Drosophila melanogaster: one gene and its partner. The protein of the gene in region 1 interacts with the protein of each later gene in a biochemical or structural test. Each region holds a gene or a part of one and is shown on either strand. Other genes may lie near its edges. The genes, in order: cup and smg.

The links.
Region 2: the proteins of cup (region 1) and smg form a complex in vitro, tested with the Drosophila melanogaster proteins (one study listed by BioGRID).

Annotation. Positions count from the first base shown.
Region 1 is NT_033779.5:6,661,711-6,667,032, forward strand, and holds the start of cup (cup), read left to right. Parts: upstream 1-1,953; 5' UTR 1,954-2,439; coding exon 2,440-2,877; intron 2,878-3,220; coding exon 3,221-4,081; intron 4,082-4,553; exon of another isoform or gene 4,554-4,640; coding exon of another isoform or gene 4,641-5,298; intron 5,299-5,322. Other genes in the region: CG13771 (uncharacterized protein), read right to left, coding at 387-1,357, 1,422-1,664, 1,726-1,867; Galt (Galactose-1-phosphate uridylyltransferase), read right to left, coding at 4,641-5,298. UniProt on the Drosophila melanogaster protein: Adapter protein that plays a central role in localization of transcripts in the oocyte and in young embryos. Maintains RNA targets in a repressed state by promoting their deadenylation and protects deadenylated mRNAs from further degradation.
Region 2 is NT_037436.4:8,990,710-8,998,763, reverse strand, and holds the start of smg (smaug), read left to right. Parts: upstream 1-1,669; 5' UTR 1,670-1,910; intron 1,911-2,192; exon of another isoform or gene 2,193-2,282; intron 2,283-2,514; exon of another isoform or gene 2,515-2,702; intron 2,703-2,846; exon of another isoform or gene 2,847-3,041; intron 3,042-3,198; 5' UTR 3,199-3,296; coding exon 3,297-5,665; intron 5,666-5,722; coding exon 5,723-6,683; 3' UTR 6,684-6,720; intron 6,721-7,226; coding exon of another isoform or gene 7,227-7,268; 3' UTR 7,269-8,054. Other genes in the region: CG5087 (uncharacterized protein), read right to left, coding at 1-101, 155-309. UniProt on the Drosophila melanogaster protein: Translation regulator that binds to the 3'-UTR of specific mRNAs such as nanos (nos) and prevents their translation. Prevents translation of unlocalized nanos in the bulk cytoplasm via the recruitment of cup.

The DNA of each region.
Region 1 (5,322 bases):
ACCCGCAGCTGCTGGCTCAGTTGCCCAACCAAAGAGTTAGCTCCACGGGGATTCGGTTGTTAGGGCAATAATCAATGTTTTTTTGTTCATAAGAATTCCAGTCATACATGGTGGTATGTGTATGTGCAGTTTTATAATTAGTGGTTTTTAAAATGTATTCTTAATCCATTTTTTCCTGTCAACCGAATTAATTAACAAACAATGTGTACGAATAACATGCAAAGGATAAATTATTGTAGTCATATTTGGTTTTGTGTTCACAATATGTTTACATATATGTTTAAATAAACGGCGTTTCGCTGAAAAAATGTGTATATTCAATTAATTCATCAAATGAAAATATCTATAATGCAAATCGACAGCATATGTTTTATTAAATCCAATCTCTAATTGTCTTTTTTCGCTCCATTGGTTTCTACGGCAGATCCATTGTCCATGTCGTGACTTACTGATTCACGGAATCGATTGAAGTAGCGACGACCAGTTAGGTACCACAGCGCCTCGTGATAGCTTCTGGGAAGGATCTCCGGAACTGCTTTGCTGCAGGAGTAGGTCAGGTGCAGCACATTGCACTTAAGCTCCGTAAAGCTATTGCCATCGATTGCATTCACCACCGTCAGCAGCTGAATGTAGTTTTCGTGGGTGAAAACCACGTACGCCTTCAGTTTTATATAGCTATGGACGGGAATGGAATGGGCGAACGTAACGTCCGCAATGAAGCGGATCATGCAACGCTGGTTGGAGTAGAGGGAGGCTGTCATGTAGCTAATCTCGATAGCCTTGCGGATGATGAACCCTCCGAAAATGGTGTTCGATTCGTTTCGGTTCTCCGGGAACGGATGCATCAGGGTTCTGCGGCGCCACGTGGACATCCAGCGGGAATTCGGTGGTAGAGTAGTCATATCACTCGGCGAAGGTCCGTCATCGCCCTTGGTTCGGGTAAATAGCTCGTACATGAGCTGCTGTTCCTCCTTGGTGGGCTGCTGCGACTCCAGGCGATACAACGCTTTGGCACGCTCCTGGTGCCGCTTCTGCGCTTCCTGGTGTAAACTTTCTTCCAGCTCATTGGCCGGCACCAGAGGATTGACAGGAGCAGGGCCATTATTGATGGCATCGCGAGCCTCTACCACAAAAATGCCCTTTGCCAGCAACATTCCGCTTTGTCGCACATATGCCGTGACCTCCATGAAGTTATTGTCCGTATATGAAACGTGACCGGAGAGGGACACATCTGCATCCGCAATAAACTTGTCTTGCAAGAAGTGGGCGTGGTCCACCAGCATGGTGATAAAAGTGTATGGCAGCGGCACACCCTCCGGCAGATTGGGCAGATGGATGTGAAGATGGCAGATCCACACTGCAAGGCCACTCTCATTAATCAGGTATTTGGAGTAGTTAGTTAGTATACTTTACTTACTTACCTGCAAGAAGGTCAAGTTCCTCAATTATCCTGCCCATGCGAAGCAAGCCTCGCCCGTAAACGAATCGTTGCCTCAACAGAGCATCTGTTTCCAGGAGCACCTGGGCAGTCGTTTGTGAGTCCAGCATGGAGCGATTGGGCAGTTCGTCTTGCTTCGGCTGAAACTTGAGCAGTCCATCCCGGCTCTTGGGAATGATGTGGTAGCCTCCTTCCACGCCGACGTGCTCACGGATTTTCTTCGCCACTGTGCTTGGTATTGGGAGTTGGATAAGTGGACGATAATGTGGAGGTTTACCCGCGGTTACCATCTGCCATCGTGCCCGAGCGGTGCCCCGAATCCAGCAGCTCCCTCCCGGATTCCATGAACGAGTGACGAATTGCACCCAGTTGGTGCCACGGGTGTCGCACGGCGATCACCCTTCTGCCAAAGTGCTGGCTCAAATTCATTTAAATTTTGGGTTTGTGTGCTCCGCTATATTCATATGTATAGTTGTCAAATAATAAGATACAGTACGTTAAAATCGTTTGCACTTAATTTTTTAAATTTGTAACAGAATAACGGCTTTTATGTAATCGAAATCTTAAGAATCACAAGTACTAGTTTCCAAAGTTATCACGTTCCAGGCTTAGCTACTTTCTGTTGTCAAAAGTAAATGTCGTAGCGCATTATTAATAAATTCGCTGTTTTGTTTAGGAATCAAAGAATTAACTATTTGAAAGCTGTATAAGTCGCAGATCAGTGTTTGTCAACACTGGTCAATCCATCCTCCATCTTCCACCATTCGCTTTCGGTATTTTTTCCTATTCCTGTCCTGCTTACTCATCGTAGCAGCGCCGAATAACGGATCCTAAGATCGAACGAACCTGTGCTAAACGTGATTTCGTTCAATTTCTCATACATTTCAATATATTTGACCCGATCAAAAGTACTCGTTTTAAGTTTTAACCAAAAAAAAAACCAACAATTAGTGAGTATGGACCCTATGAAAGAGGAGGCGATCGAATTGAATGGCCATGCTATGCAAATGGCCGAAGCTGAGCAAGAAAATGGCGCTGGCGCCCTGAAAATTGCCACCAATGCGGGTGCAACCGATCGTCCAGCGCATCAGCAGCTTCCGCTGCCAGTCGAAGATCAGCAGGATGAGGTGCTGACCCCCGCTGAGAAGGGCAAGTTCGAGTACCCGCCCCCTCCACCGCCACCAACTCCAGTCCAGGCTCCGCTAGCCACCAAGGCCACCGCTCTGAATGCCAGTCAAGAGCATGACGACGACGAGGCCAACTCCGAGAAGTGGGAGGATCCGTGCGCTCCGCCCCCGCCTCCTCCGCTGCCGACTAGCGCTTTCCTGGCCACCGGACTGGGCTACCTCAAGCTGCCCGCCTTCAAGCTGAAGGACGCACTGGAGAAGGCCATCACCAAGTTGGAGGCCAACAAGCGGACGCTAAAGGCCAGCCCTGAGGTGAGTTCATTACATATAACATTTTTAATTTTATTATTAGCAGTGCACACTGTTGTCAGATTATATATTTATATTGAAATACATTTTAAATTTAACTTTTCTTGAGTCAAACTTGATATTAGTCTAAAATCTTCGCAATATTTATTGGCCAACAAAGCACAGTATTAAACACGTAAATGGTATTAGGAATCAGAGCAGCTCTGATACAAATGTCGTTAAAAATTTAGTTAAAGAAACTTTGACTTGGCATTCATATATTCGACACTTATTTTACATCGAGTACAGACAGGCACTCTCATATATCATGAAGTTTTTTCAATGTTGTTTTTATTTTGGCAAACAGTCTTCTCGTTCCATCAAAAACAAGAATGTGGTGGCCCTGGAGATGTTACCCAGGCGCTCAAACCCAGAAACGATCGGCGATGGATCCATGTTGGCATCCACATCCACGGCTGTTATGCTGCAGACCAAAAAGCCCGCCGTTATTGTGGAGATGGAGAGGCGTTGTAAGATCATCAATTTACTGGCCAAACAGAATCAAATCCTCGAATCCATTTCGGGGGAGGCCATTCCGATGCATGGACCCTCGAAGCATCTGCACGAGGACGAGGGTCTGACCCTGCAAGTTCTCTCGGCCCGAGCATCCACACCGTACACACAGCCCTCCAGCATGTTGTCCTGCACGGCCGTTAGTTGTGACCTGGAGCACGATTCGCCGCGGAAGCAAGTGGCCAGCAAGGAGGCCGTGCCGGAGCAGCAGTCTAGTCAGGTGCAGCAAAAGCGTCCACCCAGCACAGGCATTCACAAGCCAGGAAGTCTGCGAGCACCCAAGGCTGTTCGTCCTACTACTGCTCCGGTGGTCAGCAGCAAGCCGGTCAAGAGCTATACCCGCTCCCGCCTGATGGACATTCGCAACGGGATGTTCAATGCCCTGATGCACAGGTCCAAGGAGAGCTTTGTGATGCCTCGCATCGCCACCTGCGACGACATTGAGTTGGAGGGAAGGCTTCGCCGCATGAATATTTGGCGCACCTCGGACGGCACAAGATTCCGGACCCGCTCCACCACAGCTAACTTAAACATGAACAACAACAACAACAATGAGTGCATGCCTGCCTTCTTCAAAAACAAAAATAAGCCGAACCTAATCAGTGACGAGTCCATCATCCAGAGCCAACCGCCCCAGCCGCAAACGGAGTTCCAAGTAAGCTAGTTAAACTTATACTATTCTACTCAATTTTGCCATATATTCTATATAAAATAGACTTGGTTAGCTTAATGGAAAACTTATGATTTGAAAAGGAAAAAGTGATTGTGACAGTGCGGTAATTGTTACAGTTACACATGGCGTCGATTCATTTGAGTACCTCGACCATCTGATACCCCTTCCTTTGTAGGCCAAATTGTCTTTTTGGTCTGCTCAGAAAAGCTCTTTTATGAAAAATCATATTTCCCGCCTTTTCTGCTTAGAAAAAATCGCTTAATCGATTAAGAACATTTTCCCCACTTTTGCATTAGGTAACACAAAGTCGCATTATTCCTGAGCTTATCTGATAAATCAATGATTGCATTGCATGACCTCCAGAGGTCTTTGGCAATCATGCTGATCATTGGCTGGACCCTCGCCACAGTCAAATCACTAATCTAGAACATTTTACAACTGATTGCGAATAAGTATGAAGTAATTACTACAGTCGTATTAGACTATTTCCTTTTATTGAATTCTAAACCATCTGGGATTCTACAAATACCCTCGAGCGAAATCACTTCTCTAGATAATGACACTTTCCATCGACCTCCCGCAACCTTTGGGCTGCCTGTTCGGGAGTCAGATCCCGCTGGGCCATGGCCAGCAGCTCAAATCCCACCATGAACTTGCGCACGGAGGCAGAACGAAGCAGCGGCGGATAGTAGATGGCGTGCAGGGTCCAATGAGCACTGGATGCGTGGGCATGCTCCGGCCCAGTCGGTGCTCCATGCCAACCCATCGAGTAGGGGAATGAACACTGGAACAGATTGTCATACTTGGTGGTCAGCTCCTTTATGGTCAGCGCCAAGTTGTATCGCTGTTCTGCGGTAAGATCATTGATCCGCTTATTGTTGTTGCGTGAGATGAGCATGGTTTCGAAGGGCCAAGTGGCCCAGAAGGGCACCACCACCAACCAGTCGCGATTCTCAATGACAATCCGCTCCTGGCGCTGCAGCTCACGCTCCACATAGTCGGCCAGCATGGGCCGCTCGTTGGTGGCGTAGTAGGCACGCAGACGCTCCTGCTTCAGTTGCGGTTCCGTCGGCAGAAACGAGCATGACCAGATCTGGCAGTGCGGATGGGGATTGGAACACCCCATGGCGGCTCCCTTGTTCTCGAATATCTGCACCCACGCGTACTTGGCGCTAAGCTCGTTGAACTGGCTGATCCACCTAGATAGGCAGTTAGATAAAAAG
Region 2 (8,054 bases), on another chromosome or scaffold:
TGAGGTAGCGACGAAGCACCGGATAGACGTTGCTTGCCACGAGTTCCAGTTCCGCATCCTTATCGTCATGATTCTCAGTGAACATGGCATCGAAATCGAGTCTGCAAAACGGGTTACTATTTAGGATGTTCCATAAAAGTAGATAGACACTTACATGATTCGTTTCTGGTACTTCCTACGCGCCGCATATCCCTTGAGCGTGGACTGCAGCAGGATGGCCGCCTGTTCGCGTCGCTTTTCCAGTGCCCGCTCCTCCCGCGCCGCCTTTGTCTGCTCCAGGAAGCTGGCCTTTTGGTTTTGGGCAAACATTTTGCTCTGCAGCAGGTTGAAAGAATTTTGTTGATGATGTATTGTTGTTGACCAGAGCGTTTGTTTTTGTCGGGATTGTGGCCGTTCCGGGATGTATTTATCGTTTCAATCACTTCCTCGAGCTGAACGCTATCCCAGAGCCTTGATTCAGAGCCTCGCTGGATATTTTCTGCATTGCATATCGAGCAAAATGCAAAAAGAAAATATCCTTATTTTGTTCCAATTGGTGGTACAGTGTCACCGTCTCCGCTTACTGTCAAATAACCACAGAAATAGGCCAAAGCGCGGAGATCATTTTTGTTGGCAATTTTCTAGCTAAAACCGTGGTTTGAGTCCGCGCTGCATGAGCACGGCATCGAACCTAGGGCAGCTTTGCTGCTCAACTGAGCGTCCATCACCAAGGGAAAGTAACCGATAACCGCTTGCAAGAAAGATCGACTGTATCGAGTACACATCGATTTTTGTTCCAGCACTAGCAACGCTGCGTTCGCGTGAATAAATAATTAATTAATTGCTGAAAAAATGGATTAGCTGGCGAAACATGCATCCGACCAAGTGCAACAGCAACCGTGCGCAGTACTCAGTAATCGGGCGTTTGTGAGCGTAAGCGCCATGAATTGTGTGTCTAAAAAAAAGTAATGGTTTAGCAAAAACAACAACGCTAAAGCCCAAAAGTGCTAATAAAAAGTACACACATACGCACTCACACAAACGCGCGCGCGAGCAAAGGTGAAAATTATAAATTAATAAATACGCGATCCGATAGCATATCAAATTAGCGAAATATGCTCGTTTCTCGTGCTGATCGAATCAAAACTGTGAATTGCAACAGAAAATAATTTCAAGGTTTGCAGCAGGCGAATAGAAGGCGAAAAGGTAATTGAAAAATAGAACGAATTTTGGCACAAGCGCACTGTAGCTATATATTTTTGTTGTCTGGCCGACCGTGGCTAGGTGGGTGGGGCGTGATTTTGGGGGCCAATCTTGTGTGTTCTGTGTACTGTGCGCTGCTGCTCTGTGTGGTGAAAACAACAAAACCCGCTTACCCCGCAGGAGCCCCACCCCTCTCCCTTAAATGTAATGCATGTAATTTACCGCAATTTTGCCCGTGCATTGCTCAGTGTGTCACTCTCACTCGCACACATACCACTGCCGACGAGCGCAGCAAGGTCTCCGTCTGTGTGTGCGTGTAAGTGAGTGCTCTCCCCATTTTCTTGACAGCAGTAGCAGCATCAGCATCAGCATCAATCCTGTCAGAAAAAAAAGGCGCGCGCTCCTTTTCGCCCGTTTCGCTCTGCCTGCCGCTGCGCTGCTTCTGCAGCTCCACCATTTTCTTTCTAAATCGCTGACGCCAGCGCCAAATCATTCGCCATCAGCCGCTCCTCCTCCGCGGTGCTCCCCACTGCAGCTTCTCGTCTTCAGCTGAGCTTCGCTGTGCTAAACCAATTCTTCTGTTCTGTGTGGTTGGATCTGCAGTTTTGCAGATATAATCAAATTTATTCGCAACGTACATATGTAAATAAAAGCGTTCGGAATATGCCAAGCGCCTGTGATCGCGACTGCTGAAAGGGCAGCCAAAATACGATAATATATAAGAGCGTGTGAGTTTGCAGTATCCTTTACGTTTGCGTGTGTGTGCGTGCTTGCAATCTTTGAACTTTGAACTTTTGTTGAACTTCGGTAATTTTTTTATTTGCAAGCCGGTTAGAAAACAACAGCAATTGCAGTGACGCATAACCTCAAAGATCGACATGCACAAGTACCGTTAGATCGAGTCGCCCCAAACGACTCTTTTGCGCTCCCAGTCTCGCAGGGAAATGTGAAATTTCATATAAAACGTTACGTTAAATAGCAAAGAAGTTAACATCGGTAAATTCCATAGCAGTGAATGTGCTTTAAATGCAGTAATTGGGGCCCGTTATGTTTTACTGCTTGCTCACACACACTAACTTAAGTTGGGGTACCAATACACAGTCAGTTACACTGTCTCTGGCTTAGATTACAGTCAACACTCGATGTCGTAAACCAGGATAAAAAAATAAAATGCAGCAATTTCTCTTAAAACTACATTTTACATTAAAAAATAGATACTTTAATTTTCAAATTTTTTGACTCCCATGCGTTGATTTGTTCAATGTTTTGTGTGCTTACTGTGAAAACACGGCAACAAAAATCGAAGAAAGTCGTCAGAGTAAAAGCAATAATAACAACAACAGCAACGGCGGCAGAAGAAACAAGATTCGAAATGGGCACAAACGAAACTAAATGAAAAGCGCGAAACTGTGCAAAAAAAATACAACCTAACCAAACTTCTCGCCCCCGCTCTACTTTCCCGCCCGGAAATCAAAATCCGAACGCCGCCAAGTCGAAATCAGCGATTTCGTATTTGAAATGTTTGTTATTTTATTGATTTATCGTCCCTCGTCATTTGCGCCATCAAAGCGAATCGAAGGTGTTATATATTTGTTGCTTGTTTATTTGCTTTCCTGATAAGCCAGCCGACCAAGCAAATGCTAATTTCCATTCGTCAATTACAGATAATTGTTGTTGCTATTGCGCTTGTAAATTTAACAAATTAGCGAAAACTGATTTGATTAAATTCGAACGTTATTTGCGGCTTAAAGTTTATTTTATTATCGCTGCACGGCACTCTAATCCCGAGTGGAGCAATGGCGACAAATCCATGGAATAAGGGAGAAGCTATTGATTGGATCACGTGGTTCGGAATTGTGGTATTTTTCTATGGAAGTGATTAGATTGGGCTAAACTAGGCTTTAAGCGAATGATACAGCTCATTGAGCATAAAAAAAATTGTATTACCACAGTCACAAAGTTTAGCTTTACATAATAGTTCAATTATTAATCCTACCCCGTTATCTTTACTTGCAGCAACGCAACCAAATAACCACAAAGAAGCCGTAACAAATACAATACCATAAACTATAGTAAGAACTATCCCCAAAAAACAAGAAGCAACTAACAACGAGATGAAGTACGCAACTGGAACTGACAACGCGATGACCTCCGGCATCAGCGGCCAAACCAATAACTCTAACAGTGCATCCAACGAGATGCAGCCAACCACATCAACGCCTACTGCAGCCCACAAGGAGGCCACATCAACGGCCACGACGACGGCGACATACGCCAATGGCAATCCCAATTCTAACGCCAATCCCAGCCAGAGCCAGCCGTCCAATGCGCTGTTTTGCGAGCAGGTGACCACAGTGACAAATCTCTTCGAGAAGTGGAACGACTGCGAGCGAACCGTCGTGATGTACGCGCTGCTCAAGCGGCTGCGCTACCCGAGCCTCAAGTTTCTACAGTATTCTATCGACAGCAACCTGACCCAGAACCTGGGCACCTCCCAGACCAATCTGAGCAGCGTGGTTATTGACATCAATGCCAACAATCCGGTGTACCTGCAGAATCTACTCAACGCCTACAAGACGTTCCAGCCATGTGACCTGCTCGACGCCATGTCCTCCTCGTCGTCCGACAAGGACTCGATGCCATGCTACGGCAGTGACTTCCAGATCACCACATCGGCGCAGTGTGACGAGCGGAAGCTGTATGCCCGCAAGGAGGACATTCTGCATGAAGTACTGAACATGCTGCCTCTGCTGAAGCCGGGCAATGAGGAGGCCAAGCTTATCTACCTGACCCTTATACCAGTTGCCGTCAAGGACACCATGCAGCAAATTGTGCCCACGGAGTTGGTGCAGCAGATCTTCTCGTACCTACTCATCCATCCAGCTATCACCAGCGAGGACAGACGTTCGCTCAACATTTGGCTGCGTCACTTGGAGGATCATATCCAAGCGGCTGCGGCGGGCCTGACAAATCGCAGTTACTTCCTGCAGCCCTCGCCGCAACTGGTCGCTGGTGGTAGCTCAACAGGCAGTGGTAGCTGTTCCTCTTCGGCGACCAGCTCTTCGACAGCATCCTGTTCGTCGGTGGCCTCATCCTCGTTGTGCCCCGCAAGCGGCAGCCGTTCCTCACGCACCAACGACTGGCAAACGATCGCCCCGCCCAGCAAGCAATTGCAAAACAAATTGGCCGGTGATTGGCGTGGCAATGGAGGCGGCAGCTCCAGCGGGTCGATCAATCCACTCTGTGATAATCTTAATGGTATTACCCTGAACGAATTAGCTTCTAGTCAGAACAGTCTCGGCCTGTCGCTGGAGGGCAGCTCTTCCCTGGTCAACGGTGTGGTCGCTGGTGCAGGCTCTATGTTGGGAATCGCTGGTGGCGACGATCATGACACGTCATTTAGCAAGAATGGCACGGAGATTCTCGATTTTGACCCGGTGACGGCGGACATGGGTGAGGCCTGTAGTCTGGCCAGCAGTAGCCTTTGTGGACGTAACGGTGGAAATCCTGTTGAGGATCGATCGCAACCTCCGCCGAATCTTCAGCAGCAATTGCTTCAGCCTCCTCCCTATGCCTCGATCCTTATGGGAAACGTGGGCGATCAGTTTGGAGAGATCAACCGGTGGAGCCTGGACAGCAAGATTGCAGCCCTGAAGACGCGGCGCTCTAACAGCCTCACCACGCAAACGATCTCTAGCTGTTCCAGCTCGTCTAACTCATCGGTGATCACGGTCAATGACAACTGCTCCAATTCAACGGAGAATCTGGCACAGTTTGCCAACAAGCCCCGTAGTTTTTCCTTATCGATTGAGCATCAGCGCGGCGCCTTGATGAACAGCGGTTCCGATACTCGTCTGGATGAATTCAAGCCCAATTATATTAAGTTCCACACGCGCAACGTGGGCATGTCGGGAATCGGACTCTGGCTAAAATCCTTGCGTCTGCACAAGTACATCGAGCTGTTCAAGAACATGACGTACGAGGAAATGCTCTTGATCACCGAGGACTTTCTGCAGAGTGTTGGCGTCACCAAGGGCGCCTCCCACAAGCTTGCCCTTTGCATTGATAAGCTGAAGGAACGGGCCAATATTCTTAACCGGGTAGAACAAGAACTGCTATCGGGTCAAATGGAGCTGAGCACGGCGGTTGAGGAGCTAACAAATATTGTGCTGACACCAATGAAGCCACTGGAGTCTCCAGGACCACCGGAGGAAAACATTGGTCTGCGTTTTCTTAAGGTCATTGACATTGTGACCAATACGTTGCAGCAGGATCCGTATGCTGTCCAAGACGACGAGACTTTGGGTGTGCTTATGTGGATTCTAGACCGCTCTATCCACAACGAGGCATTTATGAATCACGCCAGTCAACTCAAGGACCTGAAGTTTAAGTTGTCCAAAATGAAGATCTCCATGGTTCCCAAAATGCATCACGTCAAGCCAGCCGGCGTCGGGCCAAACAATGGGAACATTAACAAGCCAAGGTAAGGTTTTCAATAAGATAAAAAGTAATGCATTTTAAAAATGAGCTGTTATTTTAGATGGAATGGTAAGACTCGCAAATGCGATACTAAAAATGGCAGCAACGATAGGATTAACAACCGCAAAAACTCCAACGACATGCTAAACTTTTCGCTAAATTGCCTGCCACACCCGCTGCCCCATCATTCGCAGCAGGCTCCGCCGCCTCTGCCACAGTTTGACTACAACGGCTATGGCGGCGGTCCATCCCATCAGCCGCAGTACAAGAGCTCCTCGTACCCAAGCTTCATGGGTAATCCTCAGCAGCAGCCACCACCGCCGCCGTCTAGTAAGTCGCATCATCATCCCCAGCAGATGCAACAGATGTTGCAGCAACACAACCACTTTCCAGCGCTGCCTCAGCAGACGCCACCACAATCGCATCGCCGGTCGCTGAATAATCTTATTCTGGTGGCCGGAGGTCCGCAGCAACCGCAGCAATTGATCTTTAAGCCCGGTCAGGGAGTGCTCACCAACAACGGATCTAACGACAACCTGGTATTGGAACGCAATCAGCAGTCGCAGCAGCAGCAGCAGCAGAGAAAACTTAGCGGAGGAGTGTCCAGTGCGGAGCAACAACCAAAGAAGACCATGGCCGCTGTTGTGATGGTTAGTAATCCAAACCAGAATCAGGACCAGCACGATCAGCCCCAGATCCTGATCAACAACAATAATAACAACAGCATGCTGAACAACAATTTGATTAACCAGCAACAGTTGCAACTTTTGGCAGCAGCTGCTGCCGCCGTGGGCAGTGGCAGCTGTCTGTGCTCCAATGGTGGTGGTGGTGCCTGTGTCCACAATATCTGTCACCAAAGCAGCAAGAACAACAATCATGGCGTAGACCATTGCCTGTCCCAGTCACCGTTGGGCAGCCTGGGCATGTCGCCCCACGTCACCGAGTACAAGATGAACGACTTTAAGAGCCTAGAACAGCTGGAGACGTTGTGTCGCCAAATGACTGAACAGGCAATGAACTGAGCAAGATTCAGGGCTATCTGGGTTTTGAAATCATCATGTAATGGCGTTAGATTTGAGGCTGCCAGCTGTTTTTGTGTTCATTTAGCTTTGAGCCGTGTTTGATGTTTGATTTCATAACGAACATAAATGTTTTTATATTTAGATATTTAAGATTCGTGTCTATTTTTGTGTCGCGTCAAGTTGTCCACCCTGCGTCTCCTTTCACATCCCGTTCTGTAATCGTTTTTAGTTAGTAAGACGATAGTTTGTTTTAATGTTAAGTTTATTAACTGTATGCCAAGGCGCCCCCAAAGATATGATCAATTGACTCGGGCTCGCAGGACCAACGGCTGGCCGATGAACTTGTGGAGCCCATGCTGCACTCCCCGACGGTAATCCCATGTCGGTTGTCAGCGGGGGCGTGGCATCTTACTGTCAATGTTATTAATGTATAGGTTTCGTAAATGTTGTCGCCATTTATGTAGTTAAACTAACAAGCCAAGCCCCACAACACACACACACACAGATCGCAACAACAGAATACAGTAACTTCTCTCTACCTAGGAAAATTTGGCCAAATTTGATCAACATTTTACGCTATTCTAAACCCCAATCACAACATCAACTATTTCATTCACTATCAACAACGTCGCCAAATGAAAGAAATACCCCGATCTGAACGACGACGAAAAATGGTTTATCTAGTAAAAAATTATAAAATGAACTCTGCATCGTGACCATGAGACTGACTAAGATTACTTTTCGCAACTATAAAAACTAGAAGGAAGAAAGCTGGATGGAGAGGGAATTGAAAAGTGAGAATTGAGAAACGAGAGCTGATAATTGTTTGCGCGAATCAAAACTAGGCTTGCTGAATGAAGTAGTAGTCACATAATGAATATGTTTATATATACACGTACACATAATTTATTTTAAATTAAAAGGAACATATTTGCTGAACCGTAACTGCACCAGAGGAAATCGCAACGGCGGAAACTACCACTAGACTAAACTTTAACAGAAAAGAGTTTCAATGTTTCACTGTTTGTGTTTGAGAATCGGAACCACATATTGTATTTTGCATATTTAAGCGTAAGCCAAATCCATGTATTGCATACCGATCATGATCACCATTGTCATTGATTAGATTATCTCTACTATTACTATTATGTTTGCTTTAGTCAATTGTTTATAATGTAAATGGCAAGCCAATCACTCGATATGTTATGTTTTAGTTGTTTTTTTAAAAATTATATATATTTATATATACAAATGTATGTCGCTAAGCTTAGGTTCAAACAAAAAACGACGATGGGCCAAGCTGGAAAAAAGAAGGCAGCCAAAAAATATTTACCTTAAGAGCGTAAAAACGTGTAGTCTAATTGTAAATGT